4 linked regions of the Neurospora crassa OR74A genome follow. The protein of the gene in region 1 binds, or shares a complex with, the protein of each later gene. Links are inferred from orthologs where the notes say so. Each region holds a gene or a part of one and is shown in the gene's direction. Other genes may lie near its edges.

Evidence for each region.
Region 2: the proteins of rpn-5 (region 1) and rpn-11 are in contact, whole or in part, in a cryo-EM structure (PDB 3JCK), measured with the Saccharomyces cerevisiae proteins. The link is inferred for Neurospora crassa OR74A from reciprocal best matches to the Saccharomyces cerevisiae genes RPN5 and RPN11. Residues at the interface, in NP_010134.1 of Saccharomyces cerevisiae: Gln242, Tyr273, Gly274, Asn275, Leu276, Asn278, Asp279, Leu280, His282, Lys283, Asn385, Gly387, Ser409, Leu412, Asn413, Trp415, Ser416, His417, Asp420, Glu421, Leu422, Leu423, Glu424, Glu427; in NP_116659.1 of Saccharomyces cerevisiae: Pro46, Met47, Glu48, Gln73, Ser74, Gly75, Thr76, Gly77, His111, Phe114, Trp117, Ser119, Asp122, Lys148, Gly149, Gln186, Ile189, Trp221, Gln222, Leu225, Lys226, Met227, Asp229, Tyr230, Glu231, Ala298, Asn301, Ser302, Ile305.
Region 3: the proteins of rpn-5 (region 1) and rpn-9 are in contact, whole or in part, in a cryo-EM structure (PDB 5MPE), measured with the Saccharomyces cerevisiae proteins. The link is inferred for Neurospora crassa OR74A from reciprocal best matches to the Saccharomyces cerevisiae genes RPN5 and RPN9. Residues at the interface, in NP_010134.1 of Saccharomyces cerevisiae: Asn306, Glu307, Leu308, Arg310, Ile353, Tyr356, Tyr357, Ser358, Arg359, Ile360, Thr361, Arg364, Ile399; in NP_010715.3 of Saccharomyces cerevisiae: Asp322, Glu325, His326, Met329, Arg330, Ile332, Ser333, Gly339, Ser340, Ile341, Asp342, Gln343, Val344.
Region 4: the proteins of rpn-5 (region 1) and rpn-6 are in contact, whole or in part, in a cryo-EM structure (PDB 3JCK), measured with the Saccharomyces cerevisiae proteins. The link is inferred for Neurospora crassa OR74A from reciprocal best matches to the Saccharomyces cerevisiae genes RPN5 and RPN6. Residues at the interface, in NP_010134.1 of Saccharomyces cerevisiae: Glu377, Ser381, Val384, Asn385, Tyr390, Ala391, Lys392, Val393, Asn394, Arg395, Pro396, Pro405; in NP_010186.1 of Saccharomyces cerevisiae: Lys349, Glu352, Pro353, Phe354, Glu355, Cys356, Val357, Glu358, His361, Trp396, Glu401.

The regions. Positions count from the first base shown.
Region 1 is NC_026501.1:3,064,067-3,068,319, forward strand, and holds rpn-5 (26S proteasome non-ATPase regulatory subunit 12), read left to right. Parts: upstream 1-1,453; 5' UTR 1,454-1,691; coding exon 1,692-1,775; intron 1,776-1,843; coding exon 1,844-1,900; intron 1,901-1,964; coding exon 1,965-2,684; intron 2,685-2,740; coding exon 2,741-3,364; 3' UTR 3,365-3,810; downstream 3,811-4,253. UniProt on the Saccharomyces cerevisiae protein: Acts as a regulatory subunit of the 26S proteasome which is involved in the ATP-dependent degradation of ubiquitinated proteins.
Region 2 is NC_026501.1:7,046,064-7,054,084, forward strand, and holds rpn-11 (26S proteasome regulatory subunit RPN11), read left to right. Parts: upstream 1-3,576; 5' UTR 3,577-3,907; coding exon 3,908-3,973; intron 3,974-4,077; coding exon 4,078-4,331; intron 4,332-4,392; coding exon 4,393-5,089; 3' UTR 5,090-5,476; downstream 5,477-8,021. Other genes in the region: hda-3 (histone deacetylase RPD3), read right to left, coding at 651-1,571, 1,623-2,164, 2,233-2,533, 2,597-2,809; NCU00822 (hypothetical protein), read right to left, coding at 7,128-8,021. UniProt on the Saccharomyces cerevisiae protein: Component of the lid subcomplex of the 26S proteasome, a multiprotein complex involved in the ATP-dependent degradation of ubiquitinated proteins.
Region 3 is NC_026507.1:2,714,386-2,722,166, reverse strand, and holds rpn-9 (proteasome regulatory particle subunit), read left to right. Parts: upstream 1-3,849; 5' UTR 3,850-4,224; coding exon 4,225-4,492; intron 4,493-4,576; coding exon 4,577-5,454; 3' UTR 5,455-5,703; downstream 5,704-7,781. Other genes in the region: NCU02372 (N(6)-adenine-specific DNA methyltransferase 2), read right to left, coding at 455-1,075, 1,177-1,345, 1,415-1,458; nuo40 (NADH-ubiquinone oxidoreductase 40 kDa subunit), read right to left, coding at 1,901-1,990, 2,047-2,382, 2,446-2,604, 2,670-2,811, 2,875-2,966, 3,059-3,153, 3,225-3,301, 3,368-3,504; NCU02375 (ubiquitin carboxyl-terminal hydrolase 2), read right to left, coding at 5,927-6,028, 6,116-6,346, 6,441-7,249, 7,357-7,470, 7,537-7,773. UniProt on the Saccharomyces cerevisiae protein: Acts as a regulatory subunit of the 26S proteasome which is involved in the ATP-dependent degradation of ubiquitinated proteins.
Region 4 is NC_026502.1:2,994,199-3,002,221, reverse strand, and holds rpn-6 (26S proteasome non-ATPase regulatory subunit 11), read left to right. Parts: upstream 1-3,216; 5' UTR 3,217-3,477; coding exon 3,478-3,662; intron 3,663-3,734; coding exon 3,735-3,817; intron 3,818-3,892; coding exon 3,893-4,899; 3' UTR 4,900-5,187; downstream 5,188-8,023. Other genes in the region: NCU01595 (SOF1), read right to left, coding at 1,221-1,520, 1,581-2,612, 2,693-2,698; NCU01597 (hypothetical protein), read right to left, coding at 5,340-8,023. UniProt on the Saccharomyces cerevisiae protein: Component of the lid subcomplex of the 26S proteasome, a multiprotein complex involved in the ATP-dependent degradation of ubiquitinated proteins. In the complex, RPN6 is required for proteasome assembly.

The DNA.
Region 1 (4,253 bases):
TATTATAGTAACTACTAAACCTATTAATAATTAGGATACAGTAGATTAGCTTATATAATTTCCTTAACCCTACTCTATATACTAAATTTAGGATTTTCTAACTAAAAGCGTTATAACTATATTAATTACACTTAAACTACTTAGTAAAAGAGAACCCTTCTTCTCCCAATTTATAACCGTCCTCCTCCTTTAACTATATAAAAGTCAATAATAAGTAAAAAGAATAATAGTTAAAGTACTTTAATTAATCGAAGGTAAATTTTACATTTGAGAAGCTAATCGGCAATTTAATAAATCTAACCCCCTTATTTAAATTATTAATAAGGAAATCTTCTATTAGGTCGGTCTTAAATATTAAGTACGTTAATACTACGTACCCCATTACACTTACTCCTACTATAAGCGTAGTAGATTCGCAATTAATAATATCGTTAATCTCTAGCTTTTACTTTACTAGCTCCTTTAATACAATTACCCTTACTCGCCCACCCGCTACGCAACCGAATTTTACCCCTATCTCATTATAGTTCTAAATATCGCCTCTTTCAACTTCGTACTTCTTAATAATAACCTCGTACTCGTTAAACTACTCGTTAATAGACTCCTTATTTAATTCCTAAAACCTTCTTTTAATATTAACTATACAGTAAATAGTAGTTTTGAACTCTAGATAGTCTTTGAGGAAGCTAGCTAATTATATTGTATTGTAGGTCTCCGGTGTACCCTATAATAAGCGTAATCGATTTGCCGCTATAATAACTATTTAGTATAACGCTAGGAACCGTCCTTGAAAGTAGAATATTACGTACAATATAATAGTACTTTCCTCAGCTTTTATTAGTATATAGGGTTTTCCTATTGGGTGCGACGAGACGGCAGGCTTTTGGAATTCGCGTAGCGATTTAATATAATAAAAGATCAATATACGGGATTTACTAGTAATAGCAGTAATATCCTTAACAATTAATAGCTTCGTTACCCTATTTCTAAGGGTTTTAAAGCGCCAATAAGCTTTAAGATATATACGGGCGCCACAGTAGCTAGCGGACGCTTCGTCCAACTCCTTAAAGTACTAATCGAAATTTACGGGTATTATACGGTAAATTAACAATTTTACTATTAATCTATAGATATATATAGACTGCTTATTTTTCATAGATTTACGCAATAAAATTGTACGAATTAGGGTACGGTTTTGTTGCAACGCTATTACCGATTTTACGATGCAAATAAGCGATTTTACAGGGCGTTAATAAGCAAATCTATATGGTACCCATCGGCCTTGTCCCATAATAAAACGCTGTCCCACAATTACTTTACCCCCTCTTTAATGAAGAGGGGGGGAGAAAAGGACCCACACCAGGCCGCCCTCCAACCCCCAAGTACGTACCGCTGCAGTGAGTGTGCTTGGGTTGCTAGCAGTGACAGGTCCCACTCCAGCAGCAGGGCAGCTACCGTGACGACCTAACCACAGCACCTCACTACGCCAATCGCTGGACTGACGACACTCAAGGTACCTCCAAGAGCACCTCAGTCTCCAAACAACCTACAACCTAACAAACGAACTGCCCCTCAATCATCACAACATCAACAACACGAACCCATCGCGAACGCAGTGTAGTCGCCGCCCAGCCCACGATACCTGAAATAGTCTGACAGCGCCTATCCACACATCCTCAATACTGCACATCATGGCGGAGCCTGCGTTCAAGCCGGAGAAGGACTTCTCCAAGGAAGTCGACAAGCTGCTGCCCGAGGCCGAGCAGTTGGCCAAGGTAATCGCAAAACTCCCATGGTTGCCACCGTCTGCAGACCGTATACTAATAATGAAACACCCTTGTAGACAGACATTCAAGCGGCTATCGAGAAGCTTTCTGTCCTCGAAAAGCAGACGCGCCAGGTAAGCACGCTGGACCACCTACCTTGTCCCCCGCTCCTTCACGCTGACCACTCGCCGACGACAGGCTTCCGACCTCGCATCGACATCCCGCATCCTGGTCGCTATCGTTACCATCTGCAAGAATGCAGGCGACTGGAGCTTGCTCAACGACCAGACCCTTGTTCTCTCCAAGAAACATGGCCAGCTCAAACAAGCCATCACCAAGATGGTACAGACCGTCATCGACTTCCTCCCAGAAACCCCGAACCTGGAGACCAAGCTCTCCGTCATCGAGACGTTGCGCACCGTTACCGAGGGCAAGATCTTTCTCGAGGTTGAGCGCGCACGCGTCACCAAGATTCTCTCCGACATCAAGAAAGAGCAGGGCGATCTCAAGGCTGCGACCGATATCCTGTGCGAGCTTCAGGTTGAGACATTTGGCTCCATGGACAGGAGGGAAAAGACGGAATTCATTCTGGCTCAGGTGGCGCTTTGCATAGAGAGCAAGGACTGGACACAGGCGGGCATTCTCAGCAGAAAGATTAGCACCAAGTACCTTGCGCGCAGGCCCAAGAAAACGCAAGAGCAGCTCGACAAGGAACAGAAGGACAGGGAGGCCAAGAAGGCCAGGGGTGAGGAGGTTTCCGAGGAGAAGGAAGATGATGTCACCGACCTCAAGTTGCGATACTACGAACAACAGATCATTTTGGCCAAGCACGACTCAAGATACCTCGACGTCTGCAAGTACTACCGTCAAGTGCTGGATACCGAGGCAGTAGAGGAGGACCCCGCCAAGTTGCAGGCCGTAAGCTTCTCAGACACACCACATGGCGATCTTCTTAGACTAACATGGGTTGACAGGTCCTGCAAAGAATCATCTACTTCATCATCCTTGCCCCTCACGACAACGAGCAACACGATCTCCTTCACAGAATCCACAAGGACCCACGAATCGCACAGGTCCCTCAGGATGCCGAGTTGTTGAAGCTGTTTACCGTCCACGAGCTCATGCGCTGGCCCGAGGTTTCCAAAATCTTTGGCCCACACCTCTGCAGCACCGAGATCTTCGACTCGGAGCCCAACCAGTCAGCCGACGACAAGGCTTTCCAGCGCTGGCAAGACCTGCGCAAGCGCGTCATCGAGCATAATGTGCGTGTGGTGGCCAAGTATTACACGCGCATTCGTGTGGATCGCCTTACCCAGCTGTTGGATTTGACCGAGGACGAGACGGAGAAGTATATCAGCGAGCTCGTGACGTCCAAAACGGTCTATGCCAAGATCGACCGCCCGGCGCGCATCGTGAGCTTTGCTAAGCCGCGGGATGCGGACGATATCCTCAACGAGTGGAGCTTCAACATGAAGAGCTTGCTAGGCCACCTGGAAAGAATTGACCATCTGATTACCAAGGAGGAAATGATGGCAAGAATCCAACCCGGAGCAAAGTCGTCAAAGAAGAGCAGTAAGGAGAAAGCGGCGGCGCGCTAGAGAAGCTCAAGCTTCCTTACTGCACTGACCCCAGTTGTGGTCAGAAACAGACGGTAACCATCGCGGCCATAGGGCGAGGCGAGAAGCCGTCGAGTCAAATTACTCCCTAGTCGCCATCTTCCCGGCAGAGACTTCGTGGGCCAAAGCAAGGCTGGATGCATTACAGCAAGAACTAGCAGCTTTGTATGAATAGACATGACTACTATGGAGCACAAGGGACGTAATTATTTATGACTTATATCCCGGTTGAAGGGAGCGCAGTTTACTGCCAGGTAGAAAACGAGATGTCCAGCATACGGAAGGCTCCAGTTGCCTGTACGCAAGTGATGCCGTAGGTTGTTGCAGGTTGTTCGAAAATCAAGCCCGCATAAATAGTGATAATACGAAAGGGCTTCATCTCTCCAGCTTCACCAGTGGACAGTGATGAACCGCCCAATACTTTAGCGGACGCCTTGAGGCTTTGCGTGATATGTATCGTTGTGAGACTGGAGGTATCAAGAGTGCCAGCCGCGTGCCCGGACCCCCGGTCGTCTTGAACCCCCGCTGCCCCCGGCAACATCGGCATGCATATTGGCCAAGACATCAACCAATAACCAAGGCAGTAGCCGGCGCTACCATGTCATGCCATGATCCGAGCATGACATGCCAGGACGGGAACAATCGATGGGAACCCGTCAGATGCACATCATGGCCATCGTCGATTGAGCATAGGTAGAGACTGTTATGATGTGGGGAAACTCCTCGTAGTCGTTCCTCCCGAGTTGATGTCTCCGTAAAGTGCAGTCTTCCACGTTCAGAAATTGAAATACAGTACACTACACCATCACTATACCCACTCACTCATGCCGATACTCCCAAGTGTCGCCCAGAAAGCACACAAACAGCCTAC
Region 2 (8,021 bases), about 4.0 Mb from region 1:
GAAGTAATGGAGGTTGTGTATGTACACTATTCTAGAGTCCAAGGGTCCAGTCCCTCGTTCTCCGGATAACGAAGGTTGAGGAAACGCCCCAATAAAGAAGCCGCTAATAGGAACTGGCGGGGATAAACTGCACGCCCGATTGGACTTTGTCCTGATCCGCAGGGCAACCCCGCATGATACAACGCGATGTCTGAAGTGGAGGCCGGGGCATCTTTGGCGATCCAGGATCAATCAAGCTCTTCAGGAGACGAGGGTGAGGGAAGTGGCACAAGTTTAATCAAGCGTTCACCACTTAGTGAACATCCCTGGCTTCCAAACCACAATCACATATCAGCAAGCCATGTTTAGCTAAAGTCACCTTTATTAGACGCTTAACTTGTAGAAACTTTTCCGAAACATGGAAAAAGAAAAGAAAAGGAAAAAAAAAAAAAGAAAAAAAAAGAAAGAAAAAACACAAACAACAAAGAGCCTGGATGTAATGTGGGGGAATCATTGAAAACAACATTTTCCTCGTCACAACACCCCTAAATCCCCAAACGCCAATGCCAATCATGCTCATGGGATAACACAACTGAAATTTGCCGACGTACTCAGGGCCCGATTAGTCCGAGCTATCAGACGTACTGAGTGTTTGTTCGGGGGGTTGCGTCCTATTCTTGAGGCTTATCGGCCTCCTTTTCCTTGTCATCTGTTGTTGCTGCCGGTGCCTTGTCGGATGCCTCCTCGGCAACCTTGCTTGGCTCTTCTGCCACTGGCTTCTCAGTGTTGGCGTCTGGTACCGGCGAGGCGGCCTTGGGAGAGGCTGCTGCTGCTGCTGCTGCCTCGGTAGCAGGCTCCGCAGTGGCGGCGGCGGGACTTGGCCTGCGCTCTGCCTCCGGCTCCGGAGCAGGGGCAGTCTCGATTTCCTCGGTCTTGATCTCCGCCTCAGGTTCTGCAGGCTTCTCATCGGCCTCGCCCATATCCACATCGCCATCTTCGTCAACTTTGGCCGCAGAGCTTACTGCAGGCTGCGCGGCTGTCGTTGCGGGGGCTTCGGCTTCAGGTTCAGCGGCGGCCGGTTGGGCTTCGTCGTTATCGATCATGGTCTCATCGTTGTCGACAGCAGTAGGCTCCGCTGGCTTAGCGGCGGCCGCGGCGGCGGTGGCGGCAATCGAGGGCGGAGCTGGTTCTCCAATATCAAGATCCATGTCCTCCACGGCCTTGGGGTTCTTGAAGTCGAGAATGGACCGGCGCTGCGGTCCGTTCGGCTTGAACACACCATTGGCTTGAGCCATGTCCTCGTCATCACTTTCTTCAAACTCGTCTTGCCTAGCTCTCTCCTTCTCCCATTGACGCTGTGTCCGCCGGACATCCTTGTTCTCGTCCTCATCCATGTCGTCAAGCTCGTCTTCCTGATCGTCTGACATACCGAAGCCCTGACGCGGAACGTCCTGCATCTGGACAGAGGGAACTGGGGCGGTCTTCTTCAGGTTTTCTATCACTGATATCTTGATCTTCTCCAGGTACTCTGGGCTGTTGGCGTTCTCCATATTGGAAGAACGCACATCAAGCTCGTAGTCGGGACCGTAATACTAAGAGTTTGTTAGCAAGGCGGCAAGCCATAATGGAACTAATCCACTTACGTCGTAGTACTCGTTGTAAGGAAGGACTGGGTTCATCTCAACACCAACCAAACGGCCGGTTTCGTAGGCCCAAGTCCTTGCGACGTTGCGCATGGTGTAGCCACCTCCGCCGAGAACCAGAGTGGGTAGTCCAAAGCTCCGCACGTAATTAACGCAGTTGGCATGGCCACGCATGCTCAAGTTAAAGCAGCCAAGACGATCACCGGACAAACTGTCACCACCGCATTGGAGGACAACAGCCTCAGGTTGGAAGTATTGCATGACAGCGCTAATGACGGGCTGGAAGATGGAGCTGTAGGTGGTGTCGTCAATCCCATCGCGGAGGGGGAAGTTGACGGCATAGTTCTTGCCGGAACCGATACCAATGTCGCGCAACTCGCCGGTACCGGGGAAGTACTCGCCGTACTTGTGGAAGGATACGGTCATGACGCGATCCGTCGTGTAAAAGGCTTCTTCGACACCATCGCCGTGGTGCACATCGATGTCAATGTAAAGAACGCGCTTCTTGAAACGCAGGAGCTCTAGGATAGCCAGGACGATATCTGTTCGGTGTAGTAGGTAAGCATGGGTGGCGTCGTACGGGTTCCAGGAAATTGTGAAGGCCACATACCATTGACATAGCAGAAACCGCTAGCCTCGCTCTTCTTGGCGTGATGCAAACCACCGGCCCAGTTGATGGCGATGTCGCACTTGTCCCTATTCAAGCGAGCGGCACCCTCCATACTTCCGCCGGCACTGATGCCGCAGAACTCAAACAGGCCGTCGAAAACGGGACAGTCATCGCCAACATTGTACTTGCCCTGCTCGCGCATGAAGCCGTCCATGTTGTCGGGGGTAACCTTTTGTAAAAACTCAATGTACTCGTCGGTGTGAAACTGTGTCATTTCGGCAGTAACGGCTGGTTTTGCACGCTAACACAGAGAGGGTCAGTTTGTCGTTGACCAAGGCCAGTACCCCCAACACAGCAAACTTACGTAGACCTCGAGAAACTTGTACACGTTGTAGTTCATGACCAGACTGTGGGCAAGACGGATACGATGGGGCTTCATAGGATGGCCGGTCACGTAGGCATAGTTGCCAATGTCGGAGTCGTAGAAGTAGGCGACCCGCTTCTTGTCATTGTGGACGACGGTATACAACGGCTCGTCACGCGCGACTCCGGCGGGATCGGTGAATGTGGAAGGCATGGTGGGCAGATGTTGCCGGGTTGCCCGTTGTGTTGTGTTGCGTTGCGTTGGCGGATACGGAGGACTATTGCGGTACAATCCGGATTGTGGGTTGGATGGTGTGTGTGTGTGTGTTGTGGTGGTGGATATCACGTCCAAGTATGTAGAAGTTATCGCTGACCGGGAGACGCTGGGATGGGAAGGACCCCGTCGTGAAAGGAAATGTTCAGGGTCGCCGGGCTGAATGGGGGAAACACGTGTTGAGGTTTCGTGGTATTGATAGAATGACAAAGTATGATATAGAAATATCCCCGTGATGTGGCAAATCACCTGGGCGGTATCGTCATGGCTTGCCAGCAACGAAAAGAAAGATGGTGTTTAGTTCGAGCTCGGTTCCTGACGCCGGGGTGTCTGTCACTGAGTGGCAGAATTGCTTGTACGAGCCACGGCACAACGCTGAGGTCGGTGCGTGAAGCCGTGGGCGGACAGGCGGGGGAGAAAGCGCAAGCACCAGCAACCCCAACGGGCGAGTGGGGTATAATTGAGCTGTTCTCCATTCTCCAATAACTTTAGTAACCAATCAGAAAACGGATTGTGCACCTGACGTCCTGTCGGCAGGCAACGTCGAACCTTCCAAAAAAGCGCCAATACTTATGAAGTCAACCGCTTTGCCTGCCGATTTGCAAACCAGATAAGATTATGTAATCCACAGCTTCCAGCTCAAGGGAACCTTCCGTCACCGGGCTGGCCTGCAGTGGACTTTGTGGCAGTTGGCGTTGCAGGCTGCCACAGCTTGTCGTCAACGCCGCCGCCAGCCAGCTGCGGCAAGCTCCCCATAGGTGCTGCATGCTCCATGCTCCAACCTGACGCGGTAGGTAGGTAGAGAGGTACTCAACCCACCAACCTAAACAACAAACCGCCCCGTCTCCCGTCTTGTCATCGACGACATCCCACTTCGACTTTACAACGAAACCGCCACCGTTTGCATCGCAACCCTCCATATACTTCTGCGCGACGTCATTACACCCGAGGAACGACGCCGATATTAATTTCCAACACCCCCGTCACACAGCTACGTCAACATAATACACTACTCTCCAACCAACAAACACATTCAAGATGGATCGCATGCGCAGCTTGTTGGGCGGCGGCCTGGGAATGGGCGGTGCCACTGCGCCAGGAGCCGTATGTTTGTTCCCATTCGCAAATTGAACAACAGAACCGCAGGCTTGCTTGGTCTGGCGTGAAGGTGACAAGGGCATGATGCTAATGTGCTGGGTTCTGGTCAGGACAACACCAACCTCATCGACAACTCGGAAACCGTCTACATTTCCTCCCTAGCCCTCCTCAAGATGTTGCGCCACGGTCGCGCTGGTGTGCCCATGGAAGTCATGGGCCTGATGCTGGGCGAGTTTGTCGATGACTTTACCGTTCGCGTCGTCGATGTGTTTGCCATGCCCCAAAGCGGTACTGGTGTCAGTGTAGAGGCTGTCGACCCCGTCTTCCAGATGAACATGATGGACATGCTCAGGCAAACGGGAAGGTGAGAGGATACTCAGCTCAACTTGACCTTTCACCACCCACTAATGTATTTCCCTTCGCAGGCCCGAGGCCGTCGTTGGCTGGTACCACTCGCATCCCGGTTTTGGCTGCTGGCTTTCGTCGGTTGATATCAACACCCAACAAAGTTTCGAACAACTCAACTCCCGTGCGGTCGCCGTGGTTATTGACCCCATTCAGTCCGTCAAGGGCAAGGTTGTGATTGATGCTTTCCGTCTCATCAACCCCCAGTCGCTCATGCTGGGTCAGGAGCCCCGCCAGACGACATCCAACTTGGGACATCTCAACAAGCCTTCCATCCAGGCCCTCATCCACGGCCTGAACAGGCACTACTACTCGATCGGCATCAACTACCGCAAGACCGCCTTGGAGGAGAACATGTTGATGAATCTGCACAAGCACGTTTGGACCGAGGCCCTCGAAATGGAGGACTTCCGCTGCGAGGGATCGAGGACGAAGGAGAGACTCGACCGCCTGGTTAGCCTTGCTGACGGCTACGAGAAGAGAGTCAAGGAGGAGACAGAGTTGACCAAGGACCAACTCAAGACACGCTATGTTGGCAAGGTGGATCCCAAGAAGCACTTGGAGGATGTCGGACAGCAACTGATCGAAGACAACATTGTTGCCGTTACAAGGCAGATGATCGACAAGGAGGCGACCATTGCGAAGAAGGATACCCCCGCTGGGGCCAATGGCACCACACATGGCGACCAGATGGAGGTCGAGGAGGAGCAGCTATAGGTACCTACCTAACCAAAAGGACAAGCATGCATGACGTTTTTTCTTTGCAGGCGCATACCTCCGACTTGTGATTTTGTATGACTAGGCGTTAGGTATAAGGATGGGCAGCTAGACCGGTAGCCATGTTCAAGATTCGGTTTTCCTTTTCAGTGAATGGGGTTGTCTGTTCAGGTACAGACCTGCAGTGACTGGTTTACGGGTTCGTGGCTAGTGGTGTAAGTGACATCAATTTCTCTTTGTTTCCGATTCTGTACCTGAGTTGATGCCACAGGAATGAGTGCACCACGTCTTTGTGCGCGGAAAGGTGTTCTTGGTTACACACCATTGTCCTTTGACAGATGCTCTGCACAGCGTTGCCATGCCCATAATTGCATTGTTTACTTGTGGTGTTCGTGACACAGGCTCGTCTCTTGGAGGCTTCTCATCCGAATATAAATGTCGAAGAACCTCTCACACTTCCAAATGCGTTCTGTTTGTCATCCACAAAACACCTACAGTCATACAACAACATTGGACCACTGCCAACGACAAGTCAAGATGGGTTTTACAGCTTACCTGAAGACGATCCTCAGCGATTTGTTGCGCGGTCCGCAACCCAACAAGAACCAACATGCTCAAAGACACGGTAACAAAGCCAGCGGCCGCAATGGCAGCCGGAAAGGAAGCCATCAACATAAAACGATGCTAACTCGAAAAGGCCAGCACCAGGGGACCACCACCCCCAGAACTACACAGGAAAAGAGGAACCATCGGTACCTACCTCCCAATCCTCCCAATCCTCCTCCTAATTCCCCACGTCCCCGTCCAATTCGTCTTCCTCAAAACCCCCCTCCTGCCCCTCCTCCCTCCCCTCGCCCAAGACCCATTCGCCTTGGTGTCGAACCAGGAGAACCCCAAGCTAACAATACAGCGCAAGTTGAAGTCAACCAAAAGAGTATCCCTATTTGGCCCGCCTCAGCACCGGCTGCCTCGTTGCCTCCTCCGGTCGCACTGTCATCGATTTTTGAAGCTTTCGATCGAGATGGAGCTAGAGATAATTACCTTCACCAGAGGCCAGGCCTGCCACTAGACACCGTCACTCTAGCTGCTTGGGAAGAAGGTCTTCAAGCCCCGGTGCCGCCGGCCCTGTTACCGGTAAGAATGGCAAGTCCCGCTTTTTCGTGTGCATCAGCCAGTTCGGAGGATACCATTGCGCTGATTGACTATGAAATTGAGAGTTGGCAGTGGTTATCTTTGGAGCAACAATCCGTCGAGACAGGTTCTTATCTGGGTTCTGGGGTTGATATCGATAGTGCGGCTGAGTCAAGTGGGATATGGACCCCAGCTGGTTTTTCTTGTTCGACTGTGGCTTCTTCGATTGCTTCTATTCCTGCTCTTTCTTTTTCTGCTTATTCCGCTTGTTCGTCAAACAAGAGCGGGACTCGGTCTTCGAGGAGACGGAGTATCAAGCGTGTATGTGTTCCGCCCCCTTGGAAGAGTGGTTGGAATGAAAGCTTTGTGAGGCAGAGGGAGTATCCTGACTGGATCTAGATGATAGGTAGGTAACGGTAGAATGTTCGGTCTTGGGTTCGGTTTGTCGGGTTACTCAATTTCTTAGGTTCAGGGCGGCTTTTTCTTTTTTCTTTGCATTTTCGACATATTTGAGGATATACCATACATCCAAGTGACTAGTAAAAATAGATTGTTGAATGAAATTCAAGATACCTGCTATCAGAACCCGTTTTTGCCGTCCGTCATGCTTAAAAACGTACGTACCAAAGAAAACTTTGGATTTACCAGTGAGATCGCTCGTTGCACTTCGCTCCATTATCCACACATATCAAGTAAAGACCCTTAAATGCTAATAAAATTTCCAACATTGAGCAATGCAGGACCTCTACCTACGCGAAGAAGAACTAAGAAGAAACAAAATAACGCAGTACAAAAAGCAAGACTGACCCGACATGCCTCGAGATATCCATCCATTCCTTCATAGTAACATGGCCAACACATCCCGATCCCCTTTTCCTTCGTGCCCTGTCTTCCCTTCAGGAAACACTCAAAGCGGCCTCCCGCTCCTCCTCTTCAAATGCCTCCTAGCATGCCCCTCGCCCGCCGCATAACTCTCTGCCCTCTGCCCACCCTCTCTCCGCACCGCCGAGTACACCAACGAACCGTTCTCGCATCTCGTCCCCTGAGACACCTTTTGAGAAACGGCCCACCCGTTATCGCACACGCCAAAGAAGTCATCACCGAAGCAGACGGCTACTTGACCCTTCTCGCACTGCTTCTTCTTTTCTCCCGAGCCACCTTCATCTCCACCAGAACCAGAGCCAGCAGAAGCTGAAGCTGAAGCACCTGATGAAACATTGGCAGTTACCGTTACCTTGACCGTCATGGTTTTTGTTACCTCTATTGTGGTCTTTTCTCCAGCCCCGGCTCCAGTTTCGGTAGCATTAGCATCATCATCACATTTCCCTCCTCCGGGGCCGGACTCGACACCACCGGTAGCGCTAGCCGTAGCAGTTGATGCTAGCCCATCGCTAGGGGCAGTGATGAACGTGCCGCTAGCATCAACGTCAGTGGCCTTGGCATCGCCGCTGGCGCTGGCACTGGCACTGGCACTGGAAATAGGAGCGACCGTCGTCTCGGTACCAGTAGCAGCAGCTGAAGCGGAGGTGGTGGTGATGGTGGTGGTGGTAACAGCCGGTGGCTTTCCCGTGCCAGTGCCAGTGACAGTAACAGAAGCAGAAGTAGTACCAGCGTTGACTTCTTCTCCTCCTCCAGTAGGAGCAGCACCGCCTTTGCTGATCGTCTTGGGATTGTCCTCGAACACGGGCAGCGTGTCATTATCAATTTTGGGACACAAATTCAACCCAGTCGGAGCAGGGTCTGGTTTGCTAAATGGCCTTTTGAGCTGGTTGATGATGCGACCGTACTTGCCCGGGTTGGG
Region 3 (7,781 bases), on another chromosome or scaffold:
TATGATGCTGTACGACTAAATACAGGGCCGGGGGAAAATGGAGATGGTAGTTGCATGGCGTTCTCTGGATATGAATCGAATTTCCTCTTGGGATTTGAAGCCTGCAAGTCGAGTCTTATTAGATTTGATGAGTGCCAATCATTCAGCTTGAACACGTCCATGGATGATGAGTACGGGGTCTCAATGGTCTTCAAAGTTTCGTAGCGTCATAAAGAAGCTCGAGTCATTATGGCAAAGGTCGCGAGTTATCCAGATGTAAGAAATAATATGTTATCACTTTGCTTTTCCAACCCTTTTCACGCTTACAACAAAGAAATTTCTATTCATCAGTATACTTATTCCCCTGTACGGTAGTAGCGCCGTCCCAAATAATGGCCCAAAAATTCCCTTCCTATCCCCAATTTCAACCTCCTTCCCCCCCCAATGATCAGCCTAGCCTAGCCCACAGCCTCAATCAAGCAGCAGCAGCAGTAGCAGCACCCTCCTTTTCCTTCCACCCCAACTCCCTCAACGTCCAACCCTTCCCCTCTGGCGTCTCAGCCCCCGCCCCCTCCTCCGGCTTCACCTCAAAATTAGCATAGCAATAAAACTCATTGCTCAACCCCCTCGCGTGCTTAGGCTCAAACGTAGTAGTCCTCAGGCCGTAGCTCTTATACAGCTTCTCCGTGACCAGCGTCTCCATGCGCTCGCCCGTGCAAGCAATGATTCTGGGCTTTTCGCCCTTCTCCTCCGATTTGAGCATCCACCTTACCGTCAACGCAGCCTTGGTCTGGCAATCCTCGCTCAAAAAGGGAGGATCCACAATGACGCGGTCAAAGGCGCCCTTGAGGTGGCTTGGAAGCTTGAGCGGCTGGGCGAAATCGTAAAAGACGAATTCGTCAGCAAAGACGGCGAAGCGGTTGTCGTGCTCGAGTAAGGTGAGTTTGGGCTTGGGCTTGTCTTTGTAGGCGTCGCTGTTCAAAAGGTTCTTGAGCTGAACGAAGACGGAGGGGGCGGAGACGACGGCGATGGAGGTGGTTGGAGTGGCGCCGGCGAGGAGTTGTTTGGCGAGAAAGGTAGCTGTTTCATCGGAGTACTGTTGAGTGATTCTCATGTCAGTTGGTTCGTCTTCGTCGGTTGAACGTCTCTTTATAAGCCATGTGTGAAAAAAAATTAAATGAAAATGGTATCACTCACCCAGAACTGGCTTTCATTCCAATCCTCGGTGAAAGCATCCATAGACAGCTTGACGTTCAAAGCATGCCTCTCCTCAGCCTCGGCCTGGAGCTTAGCAAACTGCTCAGCACGGGCATCGCGCTCGGCGTAGAAAGATTTGAGGGCATCGAGGGTTGAGGTAGAGAGTTCGCTTCAGATAGTCAGTATACTGTGGATTACGATTATTAAAATAAGTTTCTGGTAGTGAGGCATTACTCACAGGTCACTCTCATCATCAGAGAATTTGTCGATGATGCACGCCATTTTGGACCCCAAGTCTAATCACAGTATGGCTCGATTCGATATGGTTCGGGTACAAGTAGGAGCGAATCGATTATAATCGGTTGTCTAAGTGGGCAGCGAGTGACTGTAAGGTTGTGAGTGTTGGGGAATGGTGTGCTCTTGGCACTAACAGTCAAAGTTTAACGGGAGTGTGCAGCATCGTTCGGAAAAAATTTGTGGATGCATTGATGCCATTTCCCTTATCCGTTCCCCTTTTTGGTCGCATCATACCAGTAAACACAACCCCGTCGAGTTGAAGGCTTCAATTTCACCCCAGATCGTTCAAACGCTTGCGCAAATCTCTTGATTGCTCTAATTCTCACCACAGCATCCAGTCTGGACGTTCTGTGTTCCGTCGACTCACCAAATGCTCTACGGTGGATTTCTACAATCTACATGCATCCCTGTGCAACCCCAAAGATACTCACAGCATGTGAATGTACTCCCTGTCCTCCCTCCTCTCCTTTTCGGTCGCTGGCGGAAGGTCGTAGTAGGCATTGCTGCGATAACTTTGCTGCATGGGAATCAGTCATCATACTTTTGCACTCGAATGTGATGTGGGCAACTTACCAAGTAATGGTAGGTGAAGTTGGCGATATCTGCAGGCTCGATGCCGAGGTCCTTGAAGGTCTTGGCCTCCGGATCGATGACCTGGTCGTGGAACTCACGCTCAATCTCATCGGCAGACATGATGGGCCACCAGAGGGCCTTGTTCAGCACACCGGCGATCGGCTTGAGGATCTTCTTGGGCACATTCACGTGGCGCCGCCTCTTGTAGATTTCGCGGTCAACCATCTCGGAGATCTCAGCGGTAGTGTAGGTCTTGGGACCGTAGAGCTCAAAAGTCTCCGAAGCAGTGTTGTCGTCCCAGAGCATCTGTTCAAGAGCCTGGCCAACATCAATCACCTAAAACGGCTGTCAGATGCTACCGTCCGCGCGCAAAGGGTTATATCGTGGGGGAAGACGTACGTGGACAGGGTTGTACTTCTCTTGCATCCCATTGGATGTCAGGATATTCTTGACGCTGGCAAGCTTGTGAAGCAACCTGTCCTCGAAGCCAAACATGGGAGCTGGCCGGACAATGGTGGTTTCGGGGAAAATGCTCCTGACTACTTGCTCACCGCGCGCCTACAGATCCAATCAGAAACCCATAACGATGCGACTCGCTGGAAGAGGCTGTCTTGTAATCGTACCTTGGTGGCGAAGAACTCGCACTCCGAGTTGGGGTCTGCATTGTAAGACGAGACGTGGATGAAGCGGTCGACATCGTATTTGGCGACAGCTTCGGCGATGCGCTCAGCACCCTCGATATGGACGTCCTCGAACGAGAAGTTCCTGGGACCCAGGTCAATACTCGTGCATCTCCACCACAACCTTTCCCAGTAAATCCAGACTCACTTGGTCGGGTAGTCGCGACCGATCAGGTTGTAGACGACATCGGAGTGTCGGACGCTCTCCTCGATGGATTGGGTGTTGCGCAAGTCGAACTCCTGGAGTGGTGGTTATGCTTAGTAGCTGGATCCTTGCGCGTACGTGGGCCTCGACTGTGTGGACATGACTCTTGTTGTGGGGAAAAGCTCACAATCATGACCACCTTGCCCAAATCACCCGTAACTTTCAGATGGCGCTTGTTGTACTCGTCGCGGAAGGGAATGACGACAGTGCATCCTTGTCTCGCTGCAAATGTTCTTGATATAAGCCATGGTGATCTCTATAGAGGCCTACGCCACAAAGTCGCCAGATCGTACCTAGTCTGTTGACGATGTAGCGGCCGAGTTGGCCGGTCGCACCGAAGACTGTCGCCGTATGTCCACCGAGGGAGGAGCTGTGGAGGTAGACGACGTGTTAGCAATCGCCCATTCTACCCAAGCAGAGATATAGCAACAATTACCGGCCACCCTGGTTACGGATGATGGGCTTGCCGGTGCGGGTGATGGTCACGTCGGAGATAGCTCGTCGCTGAAAGCCAAAGGCATTGGAAACGATAATTCTGGGAGTCGACCGCATCGCGGCCGTCAAGGGAGCCATCTTGTGAGTTGGGGGGTGGCAGGGCTGGCCGGATCCCGTTCAATTGGTGATGGAATCAGAGGCTATCCGGAGCTTCAAGCTGCCGTCTTCAATATCGAATCCGGGACGTCGAAGCCGGCTCTCGCTGCCCGCCTGCTGCCCGCCTGCCGTCAGCACCCCCCCCCCCCCTTCAATGTACCCAGCGACCAAACTGCTGACGGGAATCACGTGTGCCAAGCTTCCTCACTTACACTCAACGGCAGTACGTACCTCTGCCAGATAGACATGTACCTTTTGGGCTCCCGCCTCCAGTACGTACCTTAGCTTCACCCAGCTTCCACTTGGCAGTGACTGTGGGGGCCTCCACAGTGCTGGGAGAGCATCCACAATGACCGACCGTAGCTGGCTGCACGCCTAATGCCGCGTCAAGGCTTCACTGCAAGACGTCAACCAAGACAACCTCAAAACAACACTTCCACTTTCATCCCGTCCTCCATTGTAGACGTACCACTGCATTGTTCCGCCGGGATTTTCTACAACGAGCAACATCCCACGATAAGTACGCTGGTTTCCATCCGCAGCAGACTCACCGACGTTTCCACCAAAGAGACCGGATCCTCGAGAATCTGCCTACCTCCCCAAGGACTGGACAGCAAGGATCGATAGAAGACTCAGACACACACACCCACACCCACACCCACACCCACACCCACACCCACACCTAGACACAACACCACAGCCATGAACGTCGACACCATCTCCGACTTCCTCGCCGAGCAGCGCGACCAGGCGCCCGAAGAACTCCAACCCCTCGTCCTTGAGTTCGAGACACTATGGGAGCGCAAGCTGTGGCATCAGCTCACCAACCTGCTGCTTGAGTTCTTCAACCACCCCGGCAGTGCCCCGCAGAGGCTACAGTTCTACAAGGTCTTCATTCTCAAGTTCGCCGACAAGATCAACCAGCTCAAGCTCGTTGATCTTGCTCTCAAGGCCGCCACACAATGTAGAGGTGCGCAGACGGTCTTCATTTCCTCTGCTTCCAAACATGCATCTGGCAGCTAGCACTAACCACGCCTGGGTGCGCAAACCGTAGACAACCAAGAGCGCCTCTCCTTTTTGGAAGCCGTCGTCAAGAAGGTCGACCACGAAGACTCTCAAGACGCCTATGTATTCGCCACGATCGCCGTTGCCCGCGTGAAGCTCGACCTCTCCGACCTTGACGGCGCGCGCAAGGACCTGGACACGGCCGAGCGAATCCTCGACAACTTCGACTCGGTGGAGTCGGTCGTGCACGCCGCCTTCTACGACACCAACGCCAAATACTTCCAAGCCAAGTCCGACTGGGGCTCCTACTACAAGAACGCGCTGCTGTACCTCGCCTGCATCGACGTCAAGTCACTTTCACTCGAGGAGCAGCGCCAGCGCGCCTACAACCTGGCCATCGCGGCCCTCGTCAGCTCGAGCATCTACAACTTTGGCGAGCTTCTGCTGCACCCCATCCTCGACGCCCTCACCATCGACGACCGGCACAAGTGGCTGCACCAGCTCCTCTTTGCCTTCAACCGCGGCGACCTTGCCGCATACGACCTACTGGCCAGCCACATCAGCTCGGACCCGCTGCTGGCGCAGCACACGCGCCAGCTGCGCGAGAAGATCTATCTGGCGGCGCTGACCGAGGCCGTGTTTCGCCGCCCGCCCCATGACCGCGCCATGTCTTTCTCCACCATTGCGAACGAGACCAAGGTACACCCCGACGAGATCGAGCACCTGATCATGAAGGCGCTGAGCTTGGATCTACTGCGGGGCACGATCGACCAGGTTGACGAGGTGGCCCACATCAACTGGGTGCAGCCCAAGGTGTTGGACATGCAGCAGATCAAGAACATGAGGCAACGGCTGCAAGAGTGGGATTCCAGTGTTGACAAGCTGGGTAACTGGATCGAGGGTGTGGGCCAGGATGTTTGGGCTTAAAGGGTGGACGAATCTACGGACGGTGTGAGGAGATGGGAACAATTCGGGCGTTCAAACGGATGGCATCAAACCTGGAGATACAGGAGTAAACCTAATGCTTAGATCAGGGAACAAGGCCAGCTAAAGGCATGATGTTATTCCGCTGCATGAGGCAGACCGACTTTGCATGATACATATGAATACCCATAACGCATGACAACGCCCACGGCGTACGTCCTCCATTCTCTAAAAATCCAGGCCCATGCTTTGGCCTGAGTTATGTCTATGTGAATCCTCTCCATGTACGCTCCATGAACAAAGGCAAATCCAAAATACGCCGGCAAAATATGCTTCCTTGAACGCCGCAAAAAGATCAAGTAGTGTACAAAACGTAAATGAGCCATCTGGCACGTGTTTACTGGAAACAACATCATACACAGGAAAAAAATATTTGCTGCTTACTTGCCCCTACTCGTACACCGTTTATCCGAGCTCAAGACAGGGACCGAACAATGTAAAAGAGAAGATAGGCCTTTGCGTTTAGCACATCAGACTTCTGGGCCAGTTCAACTTTGTGATCGTTAAATGCGAACCACTTAAATAAATGTGCCAAAGGCAGCGGGTCAGCAAGTCTAACCCTTCAGGAACTAGATGTGTGTCATGGTTCACTAGTCAGACTCACCTGGTCGCCAACCCGGCAATAAGAAATGTAGTGTCCGGTATCCATGTCGCCAACGTGCACAACAACGCATAGAAGATCGTAAGTGCAGGACCGCTGTAGCTCGTAGTTATCTTTGAGATCCTGTGTTCGTGCGCGTGTCGTATAAGGCAGCATGTTGAGTTGTAAAGGAAACTGGACAGGTGTCTCGATCTTCTGGGCACGATCATTACGCCCTTGTTTGAACTCGAACCTCTGTTGGCAACTGTCAGCTTCTGTTGTCTCCAAGCGAAGCCAGCGGTAACGGCCAGTAAGGAATGTGCATGAGGAAGGATTCCGGTAATCTGACCTTGAGCTGGATAGAAAGAACGTTGGGTAATTTCTTGATACTGGTCTGTCTTCTTGCTTGCTGTACTGAATTGCAGTTCTGACACCGATACTCGCACTTATCGGATTTGATGTATTCTTCGTCCAAGCATTCCTGGAGAGTCACGCTGTTTTGCGTTCTTGTCGATGCGACCCCGTCGCCATTCGTCAAGTTCTTCTTGCCCCTTTTTTGCGTCAAATTTTCCAAGGGAACACTGAGATCCAAAAAGCTCTGGGCTTGATTGGTGACGCCCCCACAGTTTTGGCACGTTGTGGACGTCTGTAACTTTCCGTAGTATGTTTGGTGGATGATGCAGTTGCAGGTATGCTCACTGCCAATTTCCGGTCTCTTGCCGTCGCCATTTCTCTCGTGTAATTCCTCAGCCATGAACTGGAAAAACTCATGAGCATCTTGCTCCTTGTTGGCTACCAAGTTCTCAAACGCCTTGTTCTCGCTGATCCAGAATCCGGACAAGATATTTGCGGCGGTATAACCGTTCGTCGTTTCGCTGGCATAAAATTCCTGGAACATATCGTCCATGGCACAACTGAGGCAATGGGGTGTGTCGCAACTGCCTGACTGATGCCCATCACTCAGGTAGAAGTTGCGTAGTATGGGATTGTGGAGGAATGATTGGAGGACAACGTTTTGATAGCAAGTTGCTCCGGCATTATAGATACCACGGAGACCGTTAGCCTTGCAGGTGGCGAGGGTGGTGTTGGTCGATATATACTGGGGAGCGTCTTTTACGGGATCAGGGGCGAAGAGTTCCTCATGTTTACGCTTTCGGCCTGTGATAGAAATACAGATTAGTAACAGCCAAGGCTCATCGACATAGGAGAAGGTACCGGGCATAAGCCCCCATGGGTAAGACGGAGAAAAGGACAGAAAAACATACTACCGAAAAACGACCCTGTGCCGAGCTTCTTTAACCTCAAATCCTCAAAGGTAGGGTCCCACACAATATCATCACACATTTGGCAATACACCGCTCCGCTCCTCGACTCAACATCTGATTACAACTGTCAGTTTCCTTGCCCCATGATTTGGCTCCTTCTGGCAGAGGCAGCGAACGTACAGAAGCGATGTGATTTTTTGTTGCCGTGTTTTGTAAGGTCATCGTCGGTGAGAGTCGAGGGGCATTGCAGACAGAGGTAGGTTGGGGTAATGGATGTTACAACCTGGCCATCTACGCCCTTGGCCGTGTGTGACAGGATAGGGTTGATGTCGAAGATGGCTCGCAGAATGGTCTTGTAATGTTGTATGGACATGTTGATCGTCGCTTGATCTTGGTTAAAGAGACGGCCGACATGCTCTAGAAGA
Region 4 (8,023 bases), on another chromosome or scaffold:
GAAAGTATATTCGGTTTAGGATACGGTAAGGCGGTCGAATTGCGGAGTGACATAGGTAACTTTTAGCCTTCTTTGCGGGGAAAATCAAGTTGTGCGTTTATGTACCTATTTTCGCTACGCCGAGCCTCAGCCAACATGGTAAAACCCAGCACACATATACATACTTGGCTCCTTGAGTAGCTCACGGGTATAATGAGATTTAATGTGGAAGCTTTGCAAAGTTGATGGGGTTGCACTGGGACGTCGGTCGCGCAGTGTGGGAAGAAGTTTTCGGGAGCAAAGCCGAGAAAAAAGTAGACGGTTAAGTTAGATCTATTATGGCAGCTTCTCTACACGCCTTGGGTGGTAGACTGCCATCAAATCCTATAACTCTCTGGAATAAAGTCGATGCAATCTCAAAGCGTTTGAGGCTCCGGTTATGGCTTCTCACTCGACGTCGAGAAATGTCTCTTCGAGAAATGTCTTTATACCCAAAGCCCGGAGGTGGGCTCCCATTTTCTAAGGGCACAACTACAACTAGTTTGGTTGTGTTGATGGCTGAGCCACACTCCGACTGCTGTTTGCCAACCGGTCTTCGAGCCAGATCGAGACAGGAGAGCCATCTACTTGATCCAATAACGCAGGCCGCGCTAGATCTAGGGTAGCCCACATCAATGGCCACGGATGAGCCACAAACGACCCGTATCCTTCCCTCCAACTATCCCAACCCACGCCGTGACCGTCCGATTCCATGTCGTTCGTTCTTCTTATCCAGGCCATGAGGTTCATGCCAATGCTGCACGATGTTGACGCCAGTTTCTGGGTACTGGTCAGGTCCACGAAATCGACCGTCTGACTTGTGGGAAATCAGGTGAACCTTGATCAACCGGAAAGGAGGAATCGAGGAAAAAAAAGTGACCATGCAAAGAGAGTCAAGCAGCGAGGCCGGAGTCCACAGGGCGCCTGAAGGAGTGGTGTAGGTGTTTTGGAAGAGATGGGAAGACATGGTCGCTTTGCTTTGCACATAGAGACGAACACAGAAACAAAATACTATCGAATATGTGGTATCGAACTCCGTATAGACCGAGCGAGACTCCGCTGCCTGAAAGTCTCATCAACAAATAGCCTGACAATTTTCCCACTAAGAAACGCCGCCCAATGCAAAAGAAAATAGTAAACGCATAGCGTGAAGCGCGAGAGACCGCACAAACCATGGCACACAAAAGCCAAGAACACCGCAATTACTCCAGCTTGGCCAGGATAGCCTTCTCTCTCTCTGCCTTGCGCTTCTCGAACTGCTTGACGGAGTGTTTCCTCTCGTTCTCCTCCCTTCTCTTGATGGCCGCAAGCTCCTCGCGCTTGATCTCGGCCGCCTTCTTGACCACCTTAGGCAGGTGCCTGTGACGGGAGATGCGCTTGATCTCGGGCATGTGAGAATACCTCTCGACCAAGGTCTTGTTGTACTCGAGCGCCTGTCTCTGCTTGGTCGCCTTGACGCCGCTGCGTTCCGAGGCATTGGCACGCCACAAACGGACGTTACCCTGTATATCACGTTAGCTGTGCTGATCGAACAGTTGGAGAAAAGAAAGGAGACAACGTACATCGTCACTACCGCTGAGAAGGTACTTGGAATCCATAGTCCAGGTAGTCCGGAACACCCTCTGCATACGCTTGGTGTGGTACACATCGCGAGACATGCCCTGGTCACGGCGCCACACCCTGATTGTGCGGTCATAGGAACCAGTCACGAGCTCCTCGCCGGTAGGAGAGAACTCGACGTCCATAACCGCCGCAACGTGGCCCTTTTGGATATTCTGCGCCTTGGTGAAGTTCCTGGCGTCGAAGAGGTAGACGTTGTGATCTTCTGAGGCAACAGCCATGTTCATCGCCTCCATGGGGTTGAAGACAATGCGGTTGGCGGCGAACTTGAGAACAGTCTTGATGACGGGCATGTTGGTGCGCAAATCGAACAGAATAACGGAGCGATCTGTGCCGACGGAACCCACGATCGAGGTCTCAACCTGGTTGAAGCAAACATCGGTGATGGTGTCGCTGTGGTTCGGCCACTGTATCGTCTGAGGAGCCGTGCTGTGCTCGAGATCCCAAATACGAATGCAGCCGGCGCCCGAAGAGGCAACGAAGGAGTTGGTGTTGCGGTGGAACGAGAGAGCCGTGTATGGACCACCTTCCTGCCATGTCGCGAGTGGCGTTGGGGAGTCGGTCTTGGTGTAAGGGTCCCAAAGCTTGATGCCGTCGGTGGCACATGTGAGAAGCTTCTTGTCGTTGGTGAAGGTCATTCCCTTGACGATATTGTTGTGGGCGGCAGCCTTCCATGCTTCATCCCGTGTTGTGAGATCCCAGACCTTGACGATACCGTCACCCGAACCGGAAGCGATTGTGTGTAGCGAGTTCTTGTCCTTGGCCATGCTGTAGACACCCTGAACGTGGCCATTTCCTAGCTGGCCGAGGAAGGGCTTGGCGAAGACTCTCTCCAACTTGACGGCATTGAGGGCTCTCTTGTACTCGCGAGCGCGCTCGAAGGGATGGAGTTCGGGCGCAAGGTTACGGGGTGCGCGGGTGACGTCGTTACCGGGGGCCTGCTGGGCCGAGATGTTTCGGCTGAGGGCTTTGATCTGTTGTAGAAGTGTCAGTGGTGAGCCTAGAAGTGGGTTTGCGAATCTTGATGGGCGTCGCGTGTGGTAGGCCCAAGTACCTTCATGGTGACGGTGTTTCTCTGTTGATGATGTTGAAGGGGTCGTGGATGAGAAGGCTACCAAGGCCGACGGATATCGAGTGTGAATAATTGTATATGATGAGGCCGGGTATGGCTGAAGTCTGTCGGTACACCTTGTCGCAAAGCACAGGTGCTGTGATACAGTTATCGACGTTGGAATTAATGAATGGATGGATGGATGGATGCCGGGAGCGTCTGTCGCCAATTGGGGAGCACAGTCGGACACGGGCAGTTTGACAGCTCCCGTTCCCCTTCCTCTGGAGAAATTTTGGCGGGGTCTGGCGGCAAGAATCTTGACCGCCTTCTTGGCAGTTTGCTAAACGCTTAGGCTTGGAATGTTAGAGCTTCGCTGCCAAAAGGATGGACAGGGCCTGAGCTACCGAGAGCTGGGCTTGCCTGCCGTGAATTGACAGGGATCTGTAGGTGGATGTCTCCAGCTAATTACGTCGCGCCTGGCTACCTAGCGGTGGTACGTAGTGTACAGAGGTCTCGTTAGTGGACATGCCGCCTGCACTTGACTTGGGTAACAGCTGTGCTCCAGCAGAGGACGGGTGGTGAGGTTCGTCACGACAGAACAACCTGAGCTCCAACTTCAACACCACAACAACCACAACTTCCAAGCCGACACTCTGCGACCACCGACACGCCGCATATCCCCCCGCGACCTCGAGTAATCACCATCACATCCAATCCGATAGCCAAACTCTCGATTTATACTACTACCGCTTACCACTTGGCGACCGGGACAACCAGCACACGACACCATGGCCCAGGGCGAAGCATCAGAGAGAGTGCGCGAGGCGCAGAAGGTGGTCTCGACCGACCCCCGCCAGGCCGAGCAGATTTACAAGGATATCATCTCCAAGCCGCCATCAGTCACCTCTGACGCGGCCATCCGGGAATACGAGACGGCTTTGATTCACTTGGGAGAGCTCTATCGCGACGAGAAGTAAGAGTGGCTGGTGTATGTCGTGGTCATCGAGGAGGGGTACGGTCACTAACCTCCCATCACCGTGTACAGGAACTCACAAGGCCTTGTAGACCTCGTAACCCAGAGCCGCACAGTTCTCTCCTCGTTCGCAAAGGCAAAGACGGCAAAGCTTGGTACGACCCCGCCATCAGCTTTGTTGACGCGCTATACAAGCTCATGAGGATACTAACACTGGTTGATACATGCAGTCCGCCAGCTCCTCGACCTCTTCGAAGCCATCCCCGACTCTCTCGACATCCAGATTTCCGTCACCAAGTCGTGTATAGAATGGGCCACATCAGAGCGCCGCTCTTTCCTCCGCCAGAACCTCGAAACCCGTCTTGTCGCCTTGTACATGGCCAAGCAGTCCTACTACGATGCCCTGACGCTCATCAACGGTCTCCTCCGTGAGCTGAAGCGCATGGACGACAAGCTCGTCCTCGTCGAAGTCCAGCTGCTCGAGTCGCGGGTATACCACGCCCTCGGCAACATTGCCAAGGCCCGCGCCGCCCTCACCAGCGCGCGCACGAGCGCCGCCTCCGTTTACACCCCTCCTCTGCTCCAGGCCAACCTGGACATGCAGTCGGGCATGCTGCACGCCGAGGACAAGGACTTCAACACGGCCTTCAGCTACTTTATCGAGGCGCTGGACGGCTACCACACGCAGGAGGAGCCGCAGCGAGCCCAGGCCGCGCTGCAGTACATGCTGCTCTGCAAGATCATGCTCAACCTCGCCGATGACGTCAACCAGCTCATGACCTCCAAGCAGGCCGTCAAGTACGCCGGCAAGTCGCTCGAGGCCATGAAGGCCATTGCCCGCGCCCACAGCAACCGATCTCTCGAGGAGTACGAGCGCGCCCTGGCGGCTTACCGCTATGAGCTGGGTAGTGACACCTTCATCCGCAACCACCTGCGACGCTTGTACGATGCCATGCTGGAGCAAAACCTGATCAAGGTCATTGAGCCCTTCAGCCGCGTGGAGATTGACCATATCGCCAAGATGGTCGGCTTGGACACCCAGCAGGTGGAAAGAAAGCTGTCGCAGATGATCCTGGATAAGGTGATCATTGGAGTGCTGGACCAGGGCGCCGGCTGCCTCATTATTTACGATGAGACGCACCGGGATGAGGCGTACGATGCGGCGCTGAAGACCATTGAGAAGCTTAGCAATGTGGTTGATGTGCTTTATACCAACCAGGCCTCGCAGCTTGAGTAAAAAAAAAGCGAGGTTCAAGGCAGAAGCAGGGTTTAAATGGATGGATGGATGGATGGTTTAGGGGTTTACAACATGGGGTTCGTCTGTAACATTACGCTTAGATATGGTATTAGTCGGGCGTACTGAAACAAACACGATAAACCGCATGATCATAAGTCTAAGTTTTGAGCAATGACGGTGGTCTGGTCTTTCAAACTGTTGCAGATATGTGATATCGTATGTCCAAATTTCAGAAACTAGAAACAACCAATGTTTGTACAAAGAACCATTTAACAACATGGTATCTCCTACTCATGCATCCGTCCATCCAGTTATACTTTGGGTATCCAGTTCCTTCTTTCACTGTTCTTCCCTTCTCCCCTTCCCAACCATCCAACCATCCATCTATGCCCATTCTTTCATGTCCTTTCCCATGCTCAATACACATCACGACGCATAAACTAACAAACAACCCCCCTCCCCCTTCTCCTCCCCCTATCAACCCGTCCCTCCCTCCTCCTCCTCTCGCCCACCAAAAACGCATACACCCGTCTGACCAACTCCCCCTCACTCCACCCCCCTTTTTCCTGTTCATCCATCGCAAACACACCACCGTAAAGTTCATCTGTTCCCCACGCCCGTCTAAACATCTCCCGAAACTTGTAGACGACGTCCAAATGCCATTGCTCAATCACCACCGACTCGTCAATGGGAAGACGCGTGACGGGGTCGTAGGTGGTTTGTTGAGGGGAGGGGCGGTACGTTTGGTGCAGGAAAGAAGAGAGGGTGGGGGAGTGGGGGTAGTAGAGATGATGAGTGGGGGCGGCGGCCCGTTGTTTGCCTTTGCCTTTGGATTGGGATTGGGATTGGGAGTGGTGGAGGGCGCGGTGGGCGTGGATTATGGAGGAGAGGATGTCCCAGTGGGAGGTGCTCCAGAGGTGGGTTGGTGGGGGGAGTTGGTGTTGTTGTTGTTGGTGGTGGTCATGGGAGTGGGATGTGGTGGTGGTGGCAGCGGCGGAGGCGGAAGTGGATGAGGAGGCGCCGATGGAAGCACCGGTGGAAGCTTGGCCGTTATGGTGTTGAGAGGTTGATGTCGACGGCTGAGAGGATTGTTGCTGCTGTTGTTGTTGTTGTTGGCCGAAAGAGGATACTGGTGGGAGAGATGGATAAAGCGGCTGCAGAGGCGTGACGATGTTACGGTTGGAAGGCGGAATAGGAGGCGGTAGTGATTTGCGGCGACCGTAGCCAAACAGAGAGACGCCAGAGCGGATGACGGGGGAGTTTTCGAGGGTGGATGTGGGTTTGATGAGCGGCGGCTGTGCTGCTGGTGGTTGACGTGGTGCAGCAGCAACTTGTTGTTGTAGTTCCTGTTGCTGTTGCTGCTGCCGTTGCCGTCCACGTCCAGGGCTCAGTGGACGAGGAAACGGCGGCGCCGGTCTCGGTGCTTGGACCGCTGGTGCTGGCGCGGGGCTGTGCTCGTACCATTCGATATCATCATCCATATCCACATCCATATCCATATCCACGGTGTCATCAAGTTCGTGCTGTTCCTCGTCCTGATAATCCTCCTCATACATCCCAGTCGCATTCTCCTCAATCCTCTCCGAGCCTGCAGGACTATGAACAGGACTGCTCTCCGTGTGGGTACTGGGCGAGCTGGTGATAATCACAGGGGTGGAACGGCCACCGAATACAGGACGCCTCTGTTCAACGTCTGCGTTACGCCGAGGAGTAGGCGACTGTCGGACACTGTTGGCAAACTGCACCGCACGGCCGGGTGTATGGCCCTTAGTTGGCGGTCGCAAGGCAGACTTGATAGGGGAAGAGTTCTTGTCGGGGAGAGACCGAAGTGGAGGTGGCTCGAAGCTTTCCTCGGCAGATGATTGTTCTTCCTCGAGTTCCACTATCTCGTCGTAGTCGTCCATGTCTTCTTCAGGCCCTTGCTCTTCTTCATTCTCGTTCTCCGGTCCATACTCAACGCTCTTAGCGGGCGGGTCCGAGAACAGCTTGGAAATGGACTCCTTAAGACCAAACAGCAACTGCTTAGGTTTGTCAGTTATCGAATTCGGAGTGGTGCCTGGGCCTGAGCTGTGGTTGTCTTTGAGTGGTAGAGCCGTGACAGTGCCGGTCTTTGTTCCGCCGTCCCGTTCGAACAAGGGGAGCTTAGCGCCTGGTTCGCGTCGCACTGGAGTGAAGTTCTGTTTCTGCGGGACCGGGGTGTAGATGCTTCCAGACTGTGGTGGTGAGGAGGAACCGATGATGGAGGAAGAGTGTCGAAGTACACGTTGTGCCGGTTGCAGGGGTCGGGAGGATTGCCCTGATAACACGGGCGCTGTACCCAGAGGTGAAGGCTGAAACGGCTTTTGGGAAACTGGCACAGAAAGGCGCTGAGATGATGGAACGCGGCCTATGGGAGTCGTTCCTAGCTTCCTCTCAGCTTCCTGACCTGTAGGAAGATGCTGTGACCGCTCCGAAAGGGCTCCCGAACCAGATGACACCTTGCCGTTGGCTTGACTTTGCCTATCGAGCACTTCGGGCCCAGGCCGAAGAGAAGCATTACCCTCTGGACCCTGTAAACTGATTTCCGGAATAGGTGCAGGCGACGAGAAGAAGCTTGAGAGATTCGCTTTCTTGTTCGGCACGGGCTTCAACGCAGGCCGGAACTTCTTGGCCCGACTTGAATGAAGGAGGCTGAACTCTTCCAGCTCATCACTCTTGTCTGCGGCTGTGTTCAACTGATCCCGAACCATTTGACTCTTGTTGGAATGCCAGCGGGAGCTAGGCTGGGGCTGATGAGTTGAGGGAAGGAAGCTGGCAGGATCATTCTCTTTTAGGGTGGATTTGGCTTTGACTGCGGGAGATGAACGCATGGCTTCGAGGAGGAAAAGATCCTCCTCCTCCTCCTCTTCCTCCTCTTCATGTTGCTCCATTGCTTGTTCCCCTTGCTGAGCTTGGTAATGACCCTCTTCTTCTTCCATACAATTCATCTGGTAGTCTTGCTCGTGCTCGTGCTCGTCTCCTCGATGTTCAATCGGAGATTCTTCACGTTGATGGCTTTCTTCCGCATGAGGAGTATCGTAGTATTCACCTTCGGTAAAGTTATCATGGCGTGCCCTTTCCACTTCAGTCGCTTGACTCTCTCCCA